Regions from separate parts of the Mus musculus genome. Here regions 2 and 3 are each reported to be linked to region 1. The links are microRNA targets in miRTarBase. Many come from high-throughput screens and were not tested one by one. Region 1 holds a microRNA gene; each other region holds the end of a gene's coding sequence.
The links. The annotated mature microRNA mmu-miR-409-3p reads GAAUGUUGCUCGGUGAACCCCU and lies in region 1 at 2,122-2,143, shown strand. An mRNA with a match to its seed (bases 2 to 7 or 8) in the 3' UTR can be bound and repressed. Matches are read on the target gene's strand: a 7mer-m8 pairs with bases 2 to 8, a 7mer-A1 pairs with bases 2 to 7 and ends in A, and an 8mer does both.

Region 1 (3,151 bases):
GCGACCAGCATTTCATCCCGTTTACATTAAATAATAGTGATAAAATAATCACAAAATAACACCACAAACTACCAGAATAGCTTGGAGGAAAATGTGTTCAATTGACTACAAATTGGCAGAAGAATCCAATTTTCTTGACAACATTTGAGCTGCGACATTTGACCTGGGGAAACAGTACTCTGTAGACATGGCAGCCGCAAGGGGCAGCTTCAGTAGTGGCGGATGCTATGAGCAGTAATATTTGTGGTAGATGAACGCACATTGAGGAATCAAATCTTCGTTCAGATTTTTAAATGGGAAAGAATTGATCCTAATGAAAATGATTTGAGGAAATAACAAGGGAAATAAAAGAAATGAAAATGGCCCAACAGCACAGTCAAGGAAGCTAAACAGGGAATTGGATTAGTTTAATGGAATTTACTTTAAAAAAAAAAAAAGGAAAGAAATGCATGTTTTTTTATGAAAATCAATGTGGGTGTGGTGTTTGAGATGGGGAAATCTATGGATATAGACTAGAGCTAGTGGGGTGATAAGAAGGACTGGTCACCATGTGGGTTTTTTTTTTTAATGTGGCTAAACTTTATTTTCCCATCCCAAACCTTTACAGAGAGCTTCATGGAGTATTCAGAAGCTGGCGGGTGTCACCTGGAGGATGTGACTGGGTACCAGTGCCAGAGCACGTGCCCACTGAGCAGTCTTCTTCACTTTCCTCGATCCTCATGAAACATTCCGGGTAAGACACTGGTTCTGGGGAGTCTGCTCTTGCCGAGCAGTTGGTACCTGGAACATTCTAGGGCCTGCCCTTCCTTGGGTTTCCATGTTGCCAGCTCCCAGGGCTAGGCTTAAAGACGTACCCATTGTTGGTGCTGAAGGGCTAGGCCCGTACGGGAGGTCATTTTAGAGTGGATGTATCCAGGGTCTAATATACTATCTGGGGTGTGATGAGCACCAGGTTTCATGGTGGCTCTCTTTCCAAAAGGATCTTTACCTCAAAGGACTCCAGAGGCTACATCATTGTCTTGGAACTGGTCAGTGGCTGGAGCTCTCTCCAGGACAAGTGCTTGGAGGAAGAACCTGGACAAGCTTCCCTCCCCATACTGTTGACTGGATCTTGTAGCTACCGTTAGCCACCATCATCGCCATTGTGTGCCTCTTAGGAGCATTTCCAGGAGGTGATGCCAGCTGGGGAAAGAGCCTCTGTCCCACAGGTCAGTTTCCAGAACACCTACATGAAGCTGCCCGTGGCGTCTTTTCCCCGTATGACACACTGCATGTGACCAGTCTCTTGCTGCCCTGCAGCAAGGCTAGAAGCCTGTGTGAACTCTTGCCAAAATCAGAGAAGGGATTCTGATGTTGGTCACACTCCAAGAGTTTTAAAATGAGTGGCGAACACAGAATCCATACTCTGCTTATGGCCTAAGTCAATGGATCCTGACCCTTACTGGAGAGCCCTCCCTGGCGTGCTCGTGCGGGGCAGCCATACACACTGGCACAAGGGGACCCTGCGGGATCTCCTTCCGCTGTTCTTTCTCTCCTCCCTCCATGTTTATCTTTGAAGCATTACTTGCTTGGTTTATAGGACTGGATGGTCAAGCAGTTCTTGCTATGACATCACCGTGGGGGGAGGGGGCAGGTGACAGGGCGGGGATGCCAGGGTCGTGGGGCTGCAGTGGTTGGGTGGGCCCAAGGAGGAGCATCTCTGGATGATGCAGTCATTGCCTCCTCGCTTCTGGAAGGCATCGTCTCTGGGAGGGTGGTGTGGTATATGCGCAGGGTCTCAGCATCTCCCTATCTCCAGCTTACAAAGGAGAGATAGAGTAAGCAGAGTTCTGCACCCACTTCTGCCCCGAGTCAGCTCCTCGCTACCTGGGTCTCAAGGTTGTCTGGGAAGGCTTTAGATATTCTTGGAAGGTGAAAGGGTGGTAGATTGCACTGGGGAGGTGATGGAATAATTGCTTTCACGTGGTGGAGGGTGGCTCCTCACTGAATGGGGAGTTATAATCTCTGAGGGGCTCCAGGATGGTTCTTCTGGAAACTCAGCCATCGGCCTCGTTCTGAGCATCCGAGCCTCTCCGTGGTACTCGGAGAGAGGTTACCCGAGCAACTTTGCATCTGGAGGACGAATGTTGCTCGGTGAACCCCTTTTCGGTATCAAATCCCTCCAGGGAGGCCACCTCAGGGAAGACCATGGACTCATCTCGCTCTGGGGTATGGGACGGATGGTCGACCAGCTGGAAAGTAATTGTTTCTAATGTACTTCACCTGGTCCACTAGCCGTCGGTGCCCGCTGCAGCCTGCGCCCAGGATGTCACAGCCTCAGCTCAACACCTCTGCTGGTACTTGAAGGGAGATCGACCGTGTTATATTCGCTTGGCTGACTTCGAATAATACATGGTTGATCTTTTCTCAGTATCAACGCTCAGCTTGGAGAAGCTCTTGGAGTTGCAGCCCCTGTGGGGGTGGGGACAGCATGGTGCTTCTAGGTTGCTGCCTCCGCGGGGAACTGGGCTGGGTGGAACAGGCTGTGTGCTGCCTGTGTCAACCCTACTCACCATTTATATGCAATCCCCCCCTTCCCCCCAGGACAGCTTCAGGTGGTGATTCCAGCTCCAGGGTTGCTGCGGTCAACACTGGGTACTTGAGGAGAGGTTGTCTGTGATGAGTTCGCTTTATTAATGACGAATATAACACAGATGGCCTGTTTTCAATACCACCTGCCACTCCGGTCACTCGGCAGTACATACCAGGTGTCACACCACTGCCCGGTAGGTAAATGCATGGACTCTGTATGACGCTTGTCACCCCCTCTTCACTGAACCTCAGCTCTGAGGAGCCTCCTGGGATCGCACCAACCTTGTAGGCTGGGCCACGAAGCATTGGCCAGATGTGCAATGGATGGCTGTCCACTTTCCATGCCTCTTTCCCGCCACAACAATGGGTGTTTGTCCCTGTCTAAGGCTTCCACCGAGGGCTGCATGCTCAAATGCCCTGTACCCTGGGTGCTTCTCAATACCATGAGGGCTTGGAGGGGCTAGCATGATACTTAGGGAAGAGCCAGGCCAGTTGGTTACACGTGCAGTTCCTAGTATCTGAGGTGAGATTGCCCGTGACGGGTTTCCATTCTTAATGCTGGTACAGTGCATGGTCACCT
Region 2 (3,000 bases), not on the chromosome of region 1:
TAGTCTTTGTTCACTCAATCCCCCTTTCAGATGTCCCACGCGGTATGTAGCACGGGTGTCCTATGCTACAGAGTGGTCTTGTTCAAAAACTTTTGTGCTGTCCCCACAGTGCTGTACCTAAACCCATAAATCAGAGTCCGCCTTCTAATTTGTAGGCTTATCTGGTAAGTGGTACCTGTCCTTCCTTATTGACCTGCCTTGTTCCTTGACTTCCCGTCCAGGTGGGTGTTTTACACTGTTTGGAAGAAAGCTAAGCCTTAAAGATGAGAATGACGTGTGCTGCGAGCCACCTTCCTGACCTCCATATGCCGTATATGCCATCAAATGTGTCAGGCAACTGCTCATGAATTCCTTCTAGTGGTTTTCACTTTTAATTATTATTTTTAATTTAAAAAAGCCAATGGGAAAAATGTATATTTTGATGAGTTAGGATGTTAATTTTAAAAAGTCAGCCGAAGGACAATTAGACAGCCCAGCAAAGACTGCAGAATGCACTGACCCCCTAGAATGTGATTTTAGTATTTTTTTTTCTCTGTGTGGGGTTTGGGTTTTCATTTTGGTTTCAGTAGACCTTTAATTTGGACATGTGGAGGAATGAACATCATTGTTTTGTTCTGGAGAGAAGTTCCTGATAGTGTTTCTCCCCTCTCACCCCCAAATTGACTTAGATATTAAAATTTGGTGCTTTTAAAGGTTTTAAAAGAGTGATTAGCAGTGCTTCAATTAAAATGACAAAGGAGACCTCTTACGGTGTTTGTCCCTTTATTTCAGCCTCTCTTCCTCTTTCTTACCTCTGATGGCCTAGGGCAAAGGTGTATTCTATCTAGACTGTTAACTGCACTCAGCATAATGTCAAGGCCTTGAGGAACGATCCACAACCTATTATATTTGCCGCCCCCCCATTATAAAGTTGTTCCAAGGATAGCAGAAGATTTTTGCCTGCCTGAAAAGGGTGAAAGTCAAAGATGATTTCTGTTACTGCTCTCCCTGATTAGAGATCCAAAGGCCTTTGAGAAGACTGTAGGATGTGCAAGTGCACACTAGAGTTCATGTAGTCCTGTGGCAAAATAACTTAACTCTTAAGAAAGTGCATGTGAATAGCAACTTGGCATTGTATTGTGGATAATTTGAATTGTCTATCCTATTGTTTGTGTAAAATATTTACACTGTATCAGTAGAATGGTATTTTTTTTTACAGCAAGTAAAACATTGAAAATTTACTAATGGAAATCAGGCTCAAGTTTCATTGTCCCTCCCAAGATAGGAAGGAACAAATAAGACAGGACAAGACAAATGATCTTTAAAAGTGAGCGCAAACCTATGCCATTTGTTTTAGATTGACATGGAAGAAGAAACAATAGAGAATAAAAGGAGTTGATAGTTATGTTCAAATTAGATGCATTTAACAATATTTTTGGTGCATGCATAGGGTAAAAACAGCCCAGTAGACACTTCTCCACCCAAATTCTTCCCCAGTGCTTTGAAAACTTTGTATATTGTGGAGAATTGAAAACAAATGTACTGCTACAGTTAGAATATTAGCTAAGGCCAATTGCCCCTTACCCACTGTACTGTTATTCTTACGATTACTTTTGAAACAGTGACTGTATGTATGTAGCCCAGTCTAACCTGGAGCTTATTATGTAGCCTAGGCTTTCCTGGAAGCTCACAAGAATTGAGCTTGTACCATCACACAGCTTAATTCTTGTTACCATTTAAGTAAAGAAAGCAAGTATATCAGCTGCTGGGGTAATATTAATGAGGGGACTGACCTGCGTGATCCGTGAAGAGTAACTTGAGGCCATAACCACAGATCCACTCATAATTCGGGTGACTCAGTTCCTGCTAAGCACCAGGTGGTAGAAATGAAGAGGATAAGGTTATGTGAGGCTAATTGGTTATGAGATGCATTTGGGATAAAATGAAGGAAGTGGTGTTGAGGAAAGGAGGAAGAAAGAGGTTTTTATCTTGAGTGATAAATGTGAACTCAGATGTGACTGATTTGCTGAAGGAGGGTCTCCGTTTTGAGCCCTTGTTATTTTGACACCGAAGCATGCAAACTGAACCAACACCCACCCTACCCTGTGCTCTACTCCGACCCACCTTCGCTTTGGCTGCCTCTTAAGGAATGCTAATGGATTTGTTGTTTTTCTTAATACTGTAGTGTTATGTAGTGTGAAAGATTCTTTTAACAGTGGAATATATTATGGTGTCCTGCTTTTTTTTTAATGAAAGACAAAACAAATATGGATAGAGTTTAAATTCTGTTCAACACAGCAGATACTAAGAATTGATTTATTAAGACATGAAATGCTGCTTTCTCTTGGAAATGTGATTGAATATTTATAAAAGAGCTCCACCTGGGCCGGGGAAGGCTGGGTTGGTGGTGGTTTTAGTGGGCTAGAACATTACTATCTGAATAAACAAATGTGCTGCTTCTTCCTGTAGACTTGGAATAGTCATGTCCTTGCTTTCCCTAACAATTGCTGACACAAGACTTTGTATTTCTGCCTGTCATCTGTCTCTCAATAAATGGATCAATTTCATCCCGTCTCCATTATGCCTGGGAAAGGGAAGGAAAATATGTGTTATGTTCTGGCTTGGCCTCTTTCTGAGCTGCTCACACTGGTGGTTCATCTGATAGTTCTGTTTTCTTTCTCCTTCCTTTTTTCTTTTTGGTTTGTTTTCAGACAGGGCTCTCTGTGTAGCCCCAGCTGTCCTGGAACTCTGTAAACCAGGCTGGCCTCGAACTCACAGGAATCCACCTGCCTCTGCCTCCTGAGTACTAGGATGACAGGCGTGTACCACCACCACCCTGGCAACAGCTCCCCTTTCAAAGCACTTTATTGCCACTGAGGGGTTCTCTCTGGTAAGACTTGCTCAGAAAAGACAACAGTACTTGTTTTCATTGTGGAACTAGCTACTTAACATTCCTCTGACAGCATATTTTTTTTGGGGGGGTGCATACTATTCTAGAGGCCAATTGGTCAGCAGTGTTAT
Region 3 (3,000 bases), not on the chromosome of region 1:
CTGTGGAGGATCTCCTTACAAGGTCAAGCCCCATGGCTCCCAAGAGGCACCAATGAAGTGGGCCAAAGCTCAGTGTACTTTGGATCTTTGCATTCTTGAGCACAACGGCCCCAGCCTCTCCTGGTGCTGAGCTTCCAAGACGTCCATGTTGCCTTGTTATACCATGCAAATCCCTCTGGCTTGATGCTCCTTAGTGCAACTCAAGGGGCTGAACATTCCTGGCCATTCTTTCTCTGGCACCTGATTCTGATCCAAAGGATGTCCCATCCTAGACGCCTCTTGTCTTCCCTCTACTGAACTCTGCTCTGCTTTGGAGACTCCCTGGAGATCTTATCCACATTTCCTGTGGATTCCTTTCCTGTAAGAACTTTAAATAATGAGCCATTAAATTGGGATAGGCGTGTGGTGTTTCTCACGCAAGTGTGGGAAGATGGCACTTAAGCAGAAACGGAACCCAAGGGACGGGACTTTGTATGCCCCACTCTGCCCTTCCGCTATGAAGAACGGAGAAGCAGAAATAGACTTCAAGCTTAGAACTAAGAGACTGAAAGTACCTAAAACTATGGATGTCAGACCTCAGACTCTTCTATCTTGTCTTTCCCAACGAAGGACCCACACAGTCTCTCACTCTATAAAAACTCAATGCTGCACGTCGGTCCTAAAGGGTCTGCAGCTTGTGGTTGTTTGGATGTGAATTGTCTCCCATAGGTCCACGTACCAGAACCCTCTGCCCCCAGTTGATGGTGCTGTTTGGGAAGATTATAGAACTTTTAGGAGGTGGAACCTGCCTAGAGGAAAGATGTCACTGTGTGAGGGCTTTGAGTTCTCATAGCCTGATCCCACTTCCAGACTGCTGAGGTGGTGGGTGTGATGGGCTGGCTTCATGCTCCTACAGCCGTGCTCTCCCTGCCGTAATGGGCTATATTCCGAAGGGTAAACCAAAACAAACCTTTTTCTCCCGTAAGTTGCTTTCATCCATGTGTCTTACTACAGCAATGAGAAGTTAACTGACACTGTTCCTTTGGGTTGACACCCTGATGTGGGGTGCATGCTTGCTCTTGGATATGGAACCTGGTGAGTTCTAACATGGATGCAGTTTTAATAAATATCTGTAATTTGAGAAACACACATACAAAAAAACCACACGGGCATAAATTCAGAATCTAATTCTTGGGGGTGGGGGTGGGGGATCTGCGATTTGCTTATCGAGCCAGGTCCTTTTTCTCCTTCCAAGTGGCTGCAAGAAACACCAATCAGACCATAGAAACTCTGAATGTATATTGGCCTAGGAACTTAGAAGGCTGGGAAGGGATAGAACACAGCAATACAGACAGCACACCAAGGGCTGTCATCACCACAGTCACAATGAAGTCACGAGTACAAAATAAAAATGTACATGCTACATAATTATTAAATCTATTCTACAATGCACAGAGAGTACCCGGTTAAAGCTGTTGTTACATGTACGACAGACGTAGGACTCTGAGCTCAGTGCGGTAGATCAAGTTTGTCAATTATGGGATTAAAATATGTACATATGCATGCATGGCTTTCAAAAGGCTGAACAAATTAGCATACAATGCGTATCTGACAGATCATGAGAGATGAACCTTTCTTGAATCTTACAGAGTGGCTGTCATACGTGCTCTGCATGTTCACTGTGCTTTGCTCAGACCTTGACATACAAAGGTTCATATGTGTCCTTGTCATGAGAACTGTGTCTCCTTGGGTGCATTGCCTGCAAATATTATTATCCAGCCAGAAGCATCCTCGTGCCGACTCTTCCTTTCTACTTTCTTTTCTACTTTCCCGCCTCTCTCTTTTATCCTTTTAGCTGGGAAAGATCAGGAACTTGCTAACTATATCCCCCATGACTTCATTTCATTTTGTTTTTGAGCCATATATTTTCATTCTCGGAGCTGTGGCAGATGAGTGGCCATATTAGAGCACAACTGTGGAAACCTTAAAATGTGCTCCCTAATGTTTTCTACATTTTCCTTCCTTCCTTCCTTCCTTCCTTCCTTCCTTCCTTCCTTCCTTCCTTCCATTCTATCATCTTTCCTCCTTCCTGCTTATCTCCCTCATTCCCTCCATCTTTCCTTCCTTCCTTGAAGTCACTGAACTCCTGGATACTAGCCTTTTACTTACTGTTTCAATCAACTCTTATCTTTGTAGCCAATGGTGTGAGTGTGTGTTTGGGGGGGTGTGTGTATAAAAATCTCCTCAAAATTCTATTTTACAGTACATAGAGAAAAGTTGAGCCTTGTGGGGAGGGTTCTTTTAAATACTATACATAGTTGGCATTACACATGGGATAGGGCTAGGAGCAAAAATAAACATGGCCTTTGCTTTTAGTCTGTCTTTACAAAAGAAAACATCTTCTCTATTGAAAGAGTCTCTTCAGCATCTGCTCCCAGAAGTCTGCAGAGAGAGCACGTTACCCATAGATTTGGATGGGTCTCTTTTCCTGCCACGGACCCTGTTTCGGAGAGGGCCTGTGGATTTGGCTTTGTCTGGTCCTAGTTGAGCAGTGAGTAAGCACTAGAGGAATTTTCCAGGGATGAACTGGTTGTCTCTGGGGTGGAAACGTTATATGTTCCTGCAAACGAAACCAAAACAAAACAGCATCTCAGCTTCTAAGACAACGGCACTTTGAAGGAGAAACATCATCTAAGGAGCGAAGATGAGCTCCGGGCGCAGCAGCCATGCCTGGAAACCAACCCACGCCTGCCCTCTTCCCTAACCCAACGTGCCGGAGAACAAACCGCGGAAGTGCTGTCCTCGAGCATGCGCAGCAGCCACCAAGCGCTAACTACACCACACACCAGCAGTCAGATTTTCACACCGGGCAAGATCTCAGTGTAGGAAGTCTCTCCATAAGCCCCCACATGCAGGGACCTGGGGGCTTCTACACAAGGAAAACCTTCTTGGTCCCCTGGCTTATTTTGACTTGGGGACATCCTTAGGAAGGAACAAACCATTGAGCGGAAGGTTCATAAA

Region 2: the mRNA of Sms is a reported target of mmu-miR-409-3p. Seed matches in the 3' UTR shown: 7mer-A1 at 2,405-2,411.
Region 3: miRTarBase lists Adgrf5 as a target of mmu-miR-409-3p. Seed matches in the 3' UTR shown: 7mer-A1 at 1,979-1,985.

The regions. Positions count from the first base shown.
Region 1 is chr12:109,741,083-109,744,233 of GRCm38, forward strand. Mir409 (microRNA 409) reads left to right here and starts at 2,076; the gene lies at 2,076-2,154. Mirg (miRNA containing gene) reads left to right here. Exons shown (of 8, transcript NR_028265.1): 3 at 608-733; 4 at 980-1,208; 5 at 2,275-2,336; 6 at 2,584-2,765. It overlaps Mir541 (microRNA 541), which reads left to right and starts at 1,327; the gene lies at 1,327-1,416. Mir412 (microRNA 412) reads left to right here and starts at 2,207; the gene lies at 2,207-2,286. It also overlaps Mir369 and Mir410.
Region 2 is chrX:157,443,398-157,446,397 of GRCm38, reverse strand. Sms (spermine synthase) reads left to right here. Exons shown (of 11, transcript NM_009214.4): 11 at 222-2,547. The coding sequence ends at 261. Among named protein-coding and RNA genes, the nearest start is that of Gm24281, 14 kb to the right of the region's middle.
Region 3 is chr17:43,454,855-43,457,854 of GRCm38, reverse strand. It overlaps Adgrf5 (adhesion G protein-coupled receptor F5), which reads right to left. Exons shown (of 21, transcript NM_001081178.1): 21 at 1-2,599. The coding sequence ends at 2,520. Among named protein-coding and RNA genes, the nearest start is that of Gm25135, 2.1 kb to the right of the region's middle.